2 linked regions of the Bombyx mori genome follow. The protein of the gene in region 1 interacts with the protein of each later gene in a pairwise test. Links are inferred from orthologs where the notes say so. Each region holds a gene or a part of one and is shown on either strand. Other genes may lie near its edges.

Evidence for each region.
Region 2: the proteins of tyrosine-protein kinase Abl (region 1) and paired box protein Pax-6 interact in binary tests that used the Caenorhabditis elegans proteins (3 or more experiments, as listed by UniProt). The link is inferred for Bombyx mori from reciprocal best matches to the Caenorhabditis elegans genes abl-1 and vab-3.

What each region holds. Positions count from the first base shown.
Region 1 is NC_085107.1:85,342-89,937, reverse strand, and holds part of tyrosine-protein kinase Abl, read left to right. Parts: exon of another isoform or gene 1-53; intron 54-940; coding exon 941-1,091; intron 1,092-1,166; coding exon 1,167-1,323; intron 1,324-1,398; coding exon 1,399-1,496; intron 1,497-4,596. UniProt on the Caenorhabditis elegans protein: Functions downstream of migratory protein mig-13 and is involved in Q neuroblast migration during larval development.
Region 2 is NC_085120.1:4,528,997-4,534,080, reverse strand, and holds the start of paired box protein Pax-6, read right to left. Parts: upstream 3,372-5,084; 5' UTR 2,981-3,371; intron 1-2,980.

The DNA.
Region 1 (4,596 bases):
GGGCACTGGCTGCGGAGAAGCGCGCGCTCTCTTTATACCGCGCGCCCGCCGGCAACATGCGACAAACACACGCGCCTGTCGCATACAGCCTGCTCACTTTTACTCGAGATATTTCTCATACTTTACGACAAACGGACAAATCCGATATTAGTTGATCGCGCATGTGACCTCCTTATATTATATTATAAAATTATACAAAGGACAGCGACCTAGTTTCCATTACATACTTCTCCATAAAGTTTGTACTGAGGGGTTAGAACGCGTAGATGCAACGAGTCTGGTAAGCTCCCTCGTTCGGGAAGACCTCGTGCGTCGCTGTGTAGACGTGGCCGATCCCACAGACAGGTTCCGGTGTAATTAAAAAAAAAACCCAATGTTCTTTGTATGGTACAAAATTCACACAATAATACAGTAGGTGCTTGTTGAATAAAACAGTTCATTCGATTGTAACGTTATAAATGAATTTCTTAAGCGACATTTTCAGACTTGTAGGTAATTGTTAAGTGAACGCCCTGTACTCGTCGACTCGCAACACATCGGTTTATTTATTTGTTTACACAAATATTTATTATACATTTTATGGTGACTGATTGAAAAATATTACAGTTTCAATTTGTCATTATATTTTCTTTTAATCAATGCGGGAGTGAAATCGTTTCGCTTTTTGCAAGTTTAATATTGGAGACATTTAAGAGATATGTACAAATTACAAGAAATTAAACAAAATATTAATTTATGGAAATGAGAGAAGTTGCACGTCGAGTGCTGGAGGCGGGGCGGCGGCCGAGCGCGCAACTTCACGTATCGTTACATAAGCCGATATCGATAAACAGAAACCATTGTTGCGCATTTGATGGTTTTTTTTTTGTCATTTACGTAATTGCTTACTCTTGGAGCTGCGCGTTAGAACAGTTAACGAAGGAAGCATGTGGTGGCGCAGGGGTACCGCATGGAGTGTCCCCCGGGCTGCCCGGCGCCCGTCTACGAGCTCATGCGCGGCTGCTGGCAGTGGAGCCCCTCCGAGCGGCCCTCCTTCCGCGAGATACACCACGCGCTCGAGCACATGTTCCAGGACAACTCGATCACAGACGGTGAGCGCCTCGTTACGCAACATGTACTCGTACTAACAGCGAGCGGCTGCTATAGATGTCAACGGTGTGTTTCAGAAGTAGAGAAACAACTCCAAGAAGGCAGCGGCGCGCAGGCCGCCGGCACCCCGCTGCTGTCGCTGAAGAAGACGAGCGCCGACCCTCGAGCGGTGCAGATGCGGCGCCCGACCAACCGCCGCGGCAAGCAAGCCCCCACCCCTCCCAAACGCACTAGGTAGCGCACCCGACCACAAGTAACTGAACACGACCCCCGCCACTCATCGACATACTCATCGACCGCGTGTTGCAGCCTGCTGTCCTCGTGCAGCTCCTTCCGCGAGTCGCAGTACGCCGCCGACGAGCACGCGCCCGACGACGCGCCCGCCGACGCGCTCGCCGACCTCAACGGTCAGTGTCTCACGCAGCGTCACGCGCCGTCACGCACTCCAACAACCGATATAGTGCAATAGTACGCCTCCGCTGTACACGGAGGATATTCATTACGGAATGAAGCGGCCATCGCTTTGTTTGTTTTTAGGTTCCATGTTAAAACTCATACCCGGCTTACTTGACGCTATAACGTTATTCGTCTAAATGACGCACTACAAGTATACCGACGCGACCCACGCGACCCACGTGACCCACGTGACCCACGCGACCGAGGGCGACTTTGTAGTGCGGTACTTACGCACATAGCTCAAGTCTTTTTTTTATTTTTGAAGATTGAATATTTTGGCACTTTGTACGACTGCCAGTCTAGTTCACAGAATAATGGTCCTCACACTAAAAGACGCAGGTATTGTGCATAATGGTCAGTTCATTCAGAATCTTCTTGACGGCAATGTATAAATAATATTAGATGCGGTTTAACTTACATACGTTTTTTAAATTTTATATTTATTTTAAAAATTATATAATTTCTAAAATGAAATTGACAAAAAGAACAAAAATACAACAAACCGCACGCAGCTCGAGATAGGGATCAGAGACCTTCATGGAAATGTTCTTCAAATTTGTAAGAAGAGTACTCATGTTTGTTAAAAGTGTACACACCGTCAATTATGCTTTTTGTTATAATATTTTTATGTACAAAAAACTAAAGTCAAATGTCCTCAATGTCTGTACGTATTGTACCATAACTCAATCTTCGGAAGTAAGATAGAATATAAGACGAGTAGGCTCTGAGGCCGCGCGCCGGCGACACACTGCTCTAAGATACTGTTTTCTGTTTGCCGTGTCTCGGTGCAGCGGCCTAGCGCTCGGAGCCCGCGCTCTGTAAGTATTCCACGGCACCTGCTGCTCTAGCCCTATCCCTGCTTAGTGTAAGATGTAGCTCCTCACACTCGAGTCTGTGTCGGCACCGCGCCGCGACCTAGTCTGCATGCTCCGTCCGGCGTGCAGTAGGAAGGAACGAGCGCCGCCGAGCCGTCCACGGGTCGTCAACAATGAAATTTGTAGCATCGCCAACATTAACAGCCTGCTAGCTGGCATCGGCGCAGTATTTTGACGCTTAGTTTTTTAATTTTTTCATCGAACAGTCACGTATGCTCCCTGTATATTCGTACATATGTACTAAATCAATATTGAGATGTTTGATTGTGATGTGAGTAATGAGTCTAAAAGGGTTCTATACATCATTAAGGTCGTACATGACTCCATCCTGTCTGTGAAACTGAAACAACTTCGACCCGGCTGTAATCCCTCCATCCTTAAAAAAAAGACTAGGCTCTCAATGCTACGCAGGAGACAGTATCTTTGTATGCCAAAAGAAAAGTCCACTGTCTGTCTGACGCCAACAGAATAAAAAACAGATTAGATAAAACAAAAATAACCTTACTTAAAATGACAATATCTGGAAATTTTGAATATATCATTTGACACTAATAAATACATATAAACATTACTGATATTTAAGTTAGGTCCGCTTCTTGACATTGTCTCAAACTGCTGGCACAATAATAATTCACTTAACTGTAGATTATAATTCAAAATTTTAAGTTAGATACAAAATGAGGAAGCGTAGGTATATTGCAACACGGAGCTGCGTTGTTATACGCGAACATTGAGGAACCGAGAGTAAAGGATCACTCTCATCCGCTCTGTCGTTGTCACGTTGTAATTGTTATGGATACTGGTGACGCTATTTGTGACAACCTGGGCGACTTAGACTTCCCACGTGTTCTCACAGCAGTTGAAGTGAATCTACTCGGCCTACTCGCAAAGAAAAATAATAAGAAAATAAAAAACAAGTAGCAGTATGACTCACCACCAAGTGTCTGCACTGATAACCCTAATGCTATCAAACTGACTAAGTGTAGGGAGGGTGGTCTAGTCCCCGTGTGCCAGCTCGAGCAACTGGCTAACGAATCGACTACTGCGCGATAAACGCACGGTACCAACCCACTCGACTGCGCCCCGCATCCTCTGAGTCTAGCCCTCTACGTGACATTTTTTTTGTGATTTTGTCAGCTGCTTAGCAAGAACAACTTGAGTTCCGACAATGCTAATGTTAGTGGACTGCGTCGACGCTGCGAAACTGGCAAACATTGTGCATTTTTCTACAAATTTCATAGTTGACGAATAGTATTTTACTTGATCTGTTCATTTTATAGTTTTCCTGATTTGGGATAGTTTAGTTTAGATTTGGTGAAATAGTGAAGTTATAATCCTTTTTATATTTTTCCCTCAATATAAATAATTACGTGACTTGAAAATAGCATGCATTAATTTTTGTACCTACTTCCAAAGACAATAATACTTCCGGAAACTGTACATCTATTCTTCTCACTCTTTACTTTTGTCGTGCTACTGAACTAACCGCGTGCAGCCTTGTTGCAAGATTGATATTGGACTAGATTTTACCCGCGGCCTTACTCGAGAATAGCACTTTTGTCCTTTCGTGTACCCACCCCTGACAACGCGTATGCAAAATTTCATGATGTTCACTTAAGTTGTTACGTCATGAAAGTATAAAAATAAACAAATAACGTCACTTTCGTATTAAAGTAATAGTATGGGTAACAAGTAGGATTGTGAGAGTAGAGTAGTAGAAGGGAACAGGCCAACGAGGAAAGGAAATTCATCTTGCTCTTTAAGCGCTGGCCACACTATGGGCCGAGCGATTTAGTATGATTAGTACATTGTGCACCAAAGGAGAAAAGTAGGACATTTCCTCCCGCGTGTAAAATGACAAACACGCGGGATGAGATGTCCTACTTTTTTACCGCGGTGCACATACTATTTTTTCTCCTACCAGGCCGAAAGTTCATGGAGTACCGAGCCGGGGTCCAGGGGCGAAACCCTGGCCGGAGGTAGAGGGGCGTGCCCCCCCTCGTGCGGGCGGGCGTGCATGTTTACTCGCGGGGTCCCTTGTGTCATTCCTGTACTGTTCAATTCAAGACATGACACAATGTTAGTAGACGTACCAAAGACAAGTGCGGTATGCCATGCACAGTTCATAATGTGCAAGACGCATCGGCGCATACCCATATATATAAAAAAAAAAACT
Region 2 (5,084 bases), on another chromosome or scaffold:
ATAATTTTGGCTCGCAATTGAATGTTTGTCCCAGAATCGAACAGTACTACAGTTTTTTTTTTAACAAACACCAACCCATGAAAATCATGTCAATGATAAACATAAAATATACGCTATAATAGTGCAGATTGATTGCACAATACGCGTGTCATATTTAATTGCAAATGTAGCGAGGTTTGGGGGAGGCCTATGTCCAGCAGGGGATCTCTTTGGGCTGATAGTAAGTAAGTGGAGACCGCGAATTGGCAAACGCAGTACAGGACGCCCTTAGGCACGGTGGAGTGATAATCTGTGCAGGGTGGAAAGAGCTGGATGAGAGAAACCAAGGATCATGCTCAGTGGCGAGCAATTGGAGAAGTCTATGTCCAGCACTGGATTGATATAGGCCGATGATGATGACGAAGTAAGACGCTCGACATTCCTATGATGTACCGGTGATTACTGCTACTCATAAACGATAAAAAGCCAAGTCAAGGCAAGATATTAATAAAATTAAAAGATCTTATTGTTATAAGCGCGGTGTCGAAAGTTCATGCGATTAAGAAATTCAATAGAACAACATCACAGAAGCGATCGACAAAAAACTGTTATAGTAACTCTTTGTTTACCAGTTAAAGAAAGTGACAATGACGCATCTCGACGCCTGTACAAGAACAATAAAGTATACAAAGTACACGTGAAAAAATTGAAAGAGGTTAATGGTTTCAAAAAGCACAATCTTCATATATCGCGTGAAGCTGAAAATAAACCCCTAATATACATAGATAATCCGGTCGAAACGAATATACCACACACCTTTATGGGTATTGACGAATTTAAGAAATTACTCACAGACAGAGCTTTGCGACATTCACCTATGCAAAGTACCAGTAAGCCCAATGTTTATAGATTGAAAAGTCTGGAAACTAAAATAACGGCTATTAATGATACCAAACACATTAAACTAATCAAGAGAAGTGAAGTAAAATCAGAAGTAACAAAAAAGGGAACACAAGCAGATAATACTAAAGAAATATTACGTAAGAATACGATAGTTATAAAAAATGTTGACGCAGCAACCGCTATCAGTATGAATGTGGTACGTCAAGAAGCCGAAATCATTACGCAAGCTCCAACAAAACCGTCAACTATCACCTCGGAGTCAACTGGGAAAACAAAAATTTATGAAGCTGTTGAGACTATAACAAATGATGAAGAAATTTCGAAAGCGCGATCAGCTGCTTCTACTACTGCTTCTACTGATATCAAAGGCTTCGATTTCACAACCGTTTCCAAAATTGCGGAGCATTCTGTAAATTCGACACCAGAAAAAGAAAATATTAGCACAAATAACATCAATTTAACAACGGTGTTTAATAATACAGTTATGCTTGAAGTTACTACAGCGAAACATTTTGATGTTAAATACAATATTACGACTTTGGAATCAACTATAGGAAAATTAAAGTCTGTGAAACGGACGACTACAAATAAACAATATAAAAGTTCCACTAGAAAAAAAACATCAAAGAGAAGTACATTATCGGTAAGTATTTGGTTTAAGGGACGATAAATTTACGCCTATAAAATATTTTAATTAAAAAAAAATTTATATATAGTAAGTATACAATACCGTTTTGATTATGTATATATGTATTCAAGTGTGTGTATCTAGCTTTGTTATTTTTTTTATTTTTACCCATGTAGCCTATAGAATAGCCCCTTACACGCTGATAGCTTAAGAGGTTATTCCAGCTACGTTTGAACATCTAGGTGAGCTCACGGGCTAAAACTGAGAGAGTTTGTTCACACTAGCCTTAACAAGATCAGTGATTCTCGGAATCTACCACCGAATCAGAATTTCTTGTTATTCGAAGCGAGATTTTTATAGCACTGTTTGGCACTTTGCTGTAAAATACTAAGCTCAGATAGGCCGTCTTCGTCATTATGAGCGTTGAAATCACGCCCTTGAATTGGACGGATTTTGAAGGTTTTTCGAAATAACCTAGTTACGGTTGTATTTTTAATGGATAATTTATAGTTTTGTCGAGAAAAAATTCGTAAATGAAGGTAATACCCAAAAGCGTTTTCGCGTAAATCGTTTCCTTACTTGCAGTCGAATAAGTGAGCAGTTTTAACTTAGTTATTCGGACAGACAGACAACCTTAGAGCCCATCTCATAAGCTGTTACCCGAACTGAGAACTTAGACAGCGTGGTTGATGTTGATAAATTCAATGACTATCAATCATTTATAACTACTCTTTATGTCACGACTTTTAGAAAACTAAAAACAAAATTAAAAGACATTAAGCATCCTAAGTACTAATATTTATTCGGCTTAGTTTTCTAACTACTAATTGTATCCGAATTTCTTTTAAATATTATTATTATTGATATAGCAATAAAACTAGTTTAATTCCCACTCACAACCCTGTTCATCTTGACCCTCCCGTGAATAATGGAATATAAAGTAAATCAATATAAATGTAATAAAATAAATCACACAAAACGAATTACGGAATCTACGGAGATTCTCGTATAGTACACTTTTTGGTTTAAATTAATTTGGTATTTTATTTGAAGCCCTAACAGTTAAATGTTCTTGTTTTGTAATTAAAAATTGTAATCTTCAACAATGGATCTACTAACAAAATGCCATAATACTATTTATGATTTTATTTCTTTCAGAGACCACTAGTTTTCATGGGGGGTTATAATTGAATATACAATTGGTTAATAATAAAGCTTGAAAATCTACAATTTTGGTAAATAGTGTTTTATTAAATTTCATATATGTTACTCATACTAAAATAAAATAGATTACTATTAAAGTTGATATGCGGTTTATCGGGTCTGAAGATTTCCGATGTGATTATTTCTTAATTTTGATAATGTAAAATTCTTTATGTCAATATATGTTGCTTAATTTTATAAGAAATCTCAGTACCAACTTTGTAAGCTTCAAGATATTTGATATTTTAAATATATTTGAACACATACCTTAACTTCTACCTAGACAAAAAATCCGAGTTATTGCAACAGCAATAACTAAAGTCTTCTTCAACTGGTCGGCATGAACATCACTTTACTAAACTAATAACGAATTAAGCAAATTATTAAGGCTTTACGATAAATAGTTCTTGTGCCCGTGAAAACTCGTAAAACGATTTTCCCGCCGAACAAAACGTCAAACTGTCAAACGCGCGAACATCGTGCCTCCAGTCCGGTATAAAGGCGCCACTTCACTGATTACAAAATAGAATCTCACGTGGACCTCCGCTGCTACGGTATACCTTATAACTATGAAGGGCCATCGAGACGACTCTATTCACGCTCACCCTGGCGAGAAAGAGATGCCATAAAGTGTCGACACCCATTGTAAGCCGCTTACTGAATTTAGGACTGCTCATTTGTGCGACAGAGACGCCTAGCTTTTTATTGTATAGTCTTAATTCACGCTCCGCCCATTCCTCATTTAACCCCACGGCGGTGGGGGAAACGGCCAGTTTTAAATTATCTATTATAATAAAATTATTTCGCGAAATAAGGGGTTGGTTATGTTAATGATGTGTTTAATTTATGTCTATGTCTTTATCTTAGAAGTGGCTGACGACAGCGTCGAGACGCGTTATTTGCGTATGAAAATTATTTTCCCTGTCACTTTAATAATGTTGATATGTTTGATGAATTATTTTGACTTGGTACTTATTATAATAATTTTAATTAAACATTCGACATAATTTTGTATTTAAGCTTGTATTAAAAATAGAGATCTAAGCCTTGTTGTTGCAATTATAGTTTTGTTTTAGTTTTATTATTATTATTATTTAGCAAGCCGATATTATAAATTAGGTAATATACACCTTACTTTTCTGTATTTTTTTCTTCGGGGCAACCCTGGTAGCGTCGGTAAGGGTGACGTCGATGAAACTCATTACAGATTTAGAGTTTTTTATAATTAAGATCGATTTTTTTAGATGGGCAAATCAACTAATCCATCCAATCTTAAGTGGTTAAGTGGTGTTGATAGGTAGTAGTTGATAGTAAGCTGAACAATATCCCGCCACTCGTCCACTTTGTAGTCGTCGTGGCCTAAAGGACAATACGTCCGGTGCATTCGTATCTAGCGATGCACCGGTGTTCGAATCCCGCAGACGGGTACCAATTTTTCTAATGAAATACGTACTTCACAAATGTTCACGATTGACTTCCAGGGTGAAGGAATAACATCGTGAAATAAAAATCAAACCAGCATAATTAAAATTTGTGTAATTACTGATTGTAAGACCTCTAGTGAATCCGCACGGATAGATACCACCGCCCTGCCTATTTCTGCCGTGAAGCAGTAATGCGTTTCGGTTTGAAGGGTAGGGCAGCCGTTGTAACTATACTGAGACCTTAGAACTTACATCTCAATGTGGTTGGCGCATTTACGTTGTAAAAGTCTTTGGGCTCCAGTAACTACTTAACACCAGGTGGGCTGTGAGCTCGTCGTCAACCTATCAAAAAAGGCAATAAAAAATCTCCATTATAGCTGTGCGTCTAAATCTTACGCGTAGAGGGCAATGCAAGAGAGGTTGCAGCCTTGACCTGGCCAGTCCTCCTTACGCGAGATCTATCGTGCGGCTTAACACTCTTAACCCTGCCCCGCACCATCACGAGCTCGATAGAAAGATCCGTGACACATATCCAGAAAAAGAGGCCAGATAAGAGCCTGCAACGTGCAGGAGAGGCGTTTCATTATTTTCATTCCTCAAGAATAGACTCGTTGTTGCGAAATCAGTCCACGATATCCGGAGTTTTTCTCCAGAATCACATTTCAAGTGGGTCTATTCTGCGTTTTCTACTATCTCCCAGTGTCTAGGTGTCTTTGGAACAAAAAAGAACATATATTTCCAAATTTAAAGAGTATAAATTGCTCGTAAATATCTACTGAAAAAAAAAAGAAAATAGATCAACGAACAATACTAAAAATATCAATTAACTGTTTTGTGTTAAAAAAATCAAAATCTTATAATTTTTCTTAACCAAAAAGAGAAAAGAAACAGCCTGTAGACAGAGGAGATAATAATACTTCATTGTTTAAAAATATAATGTTATGTAG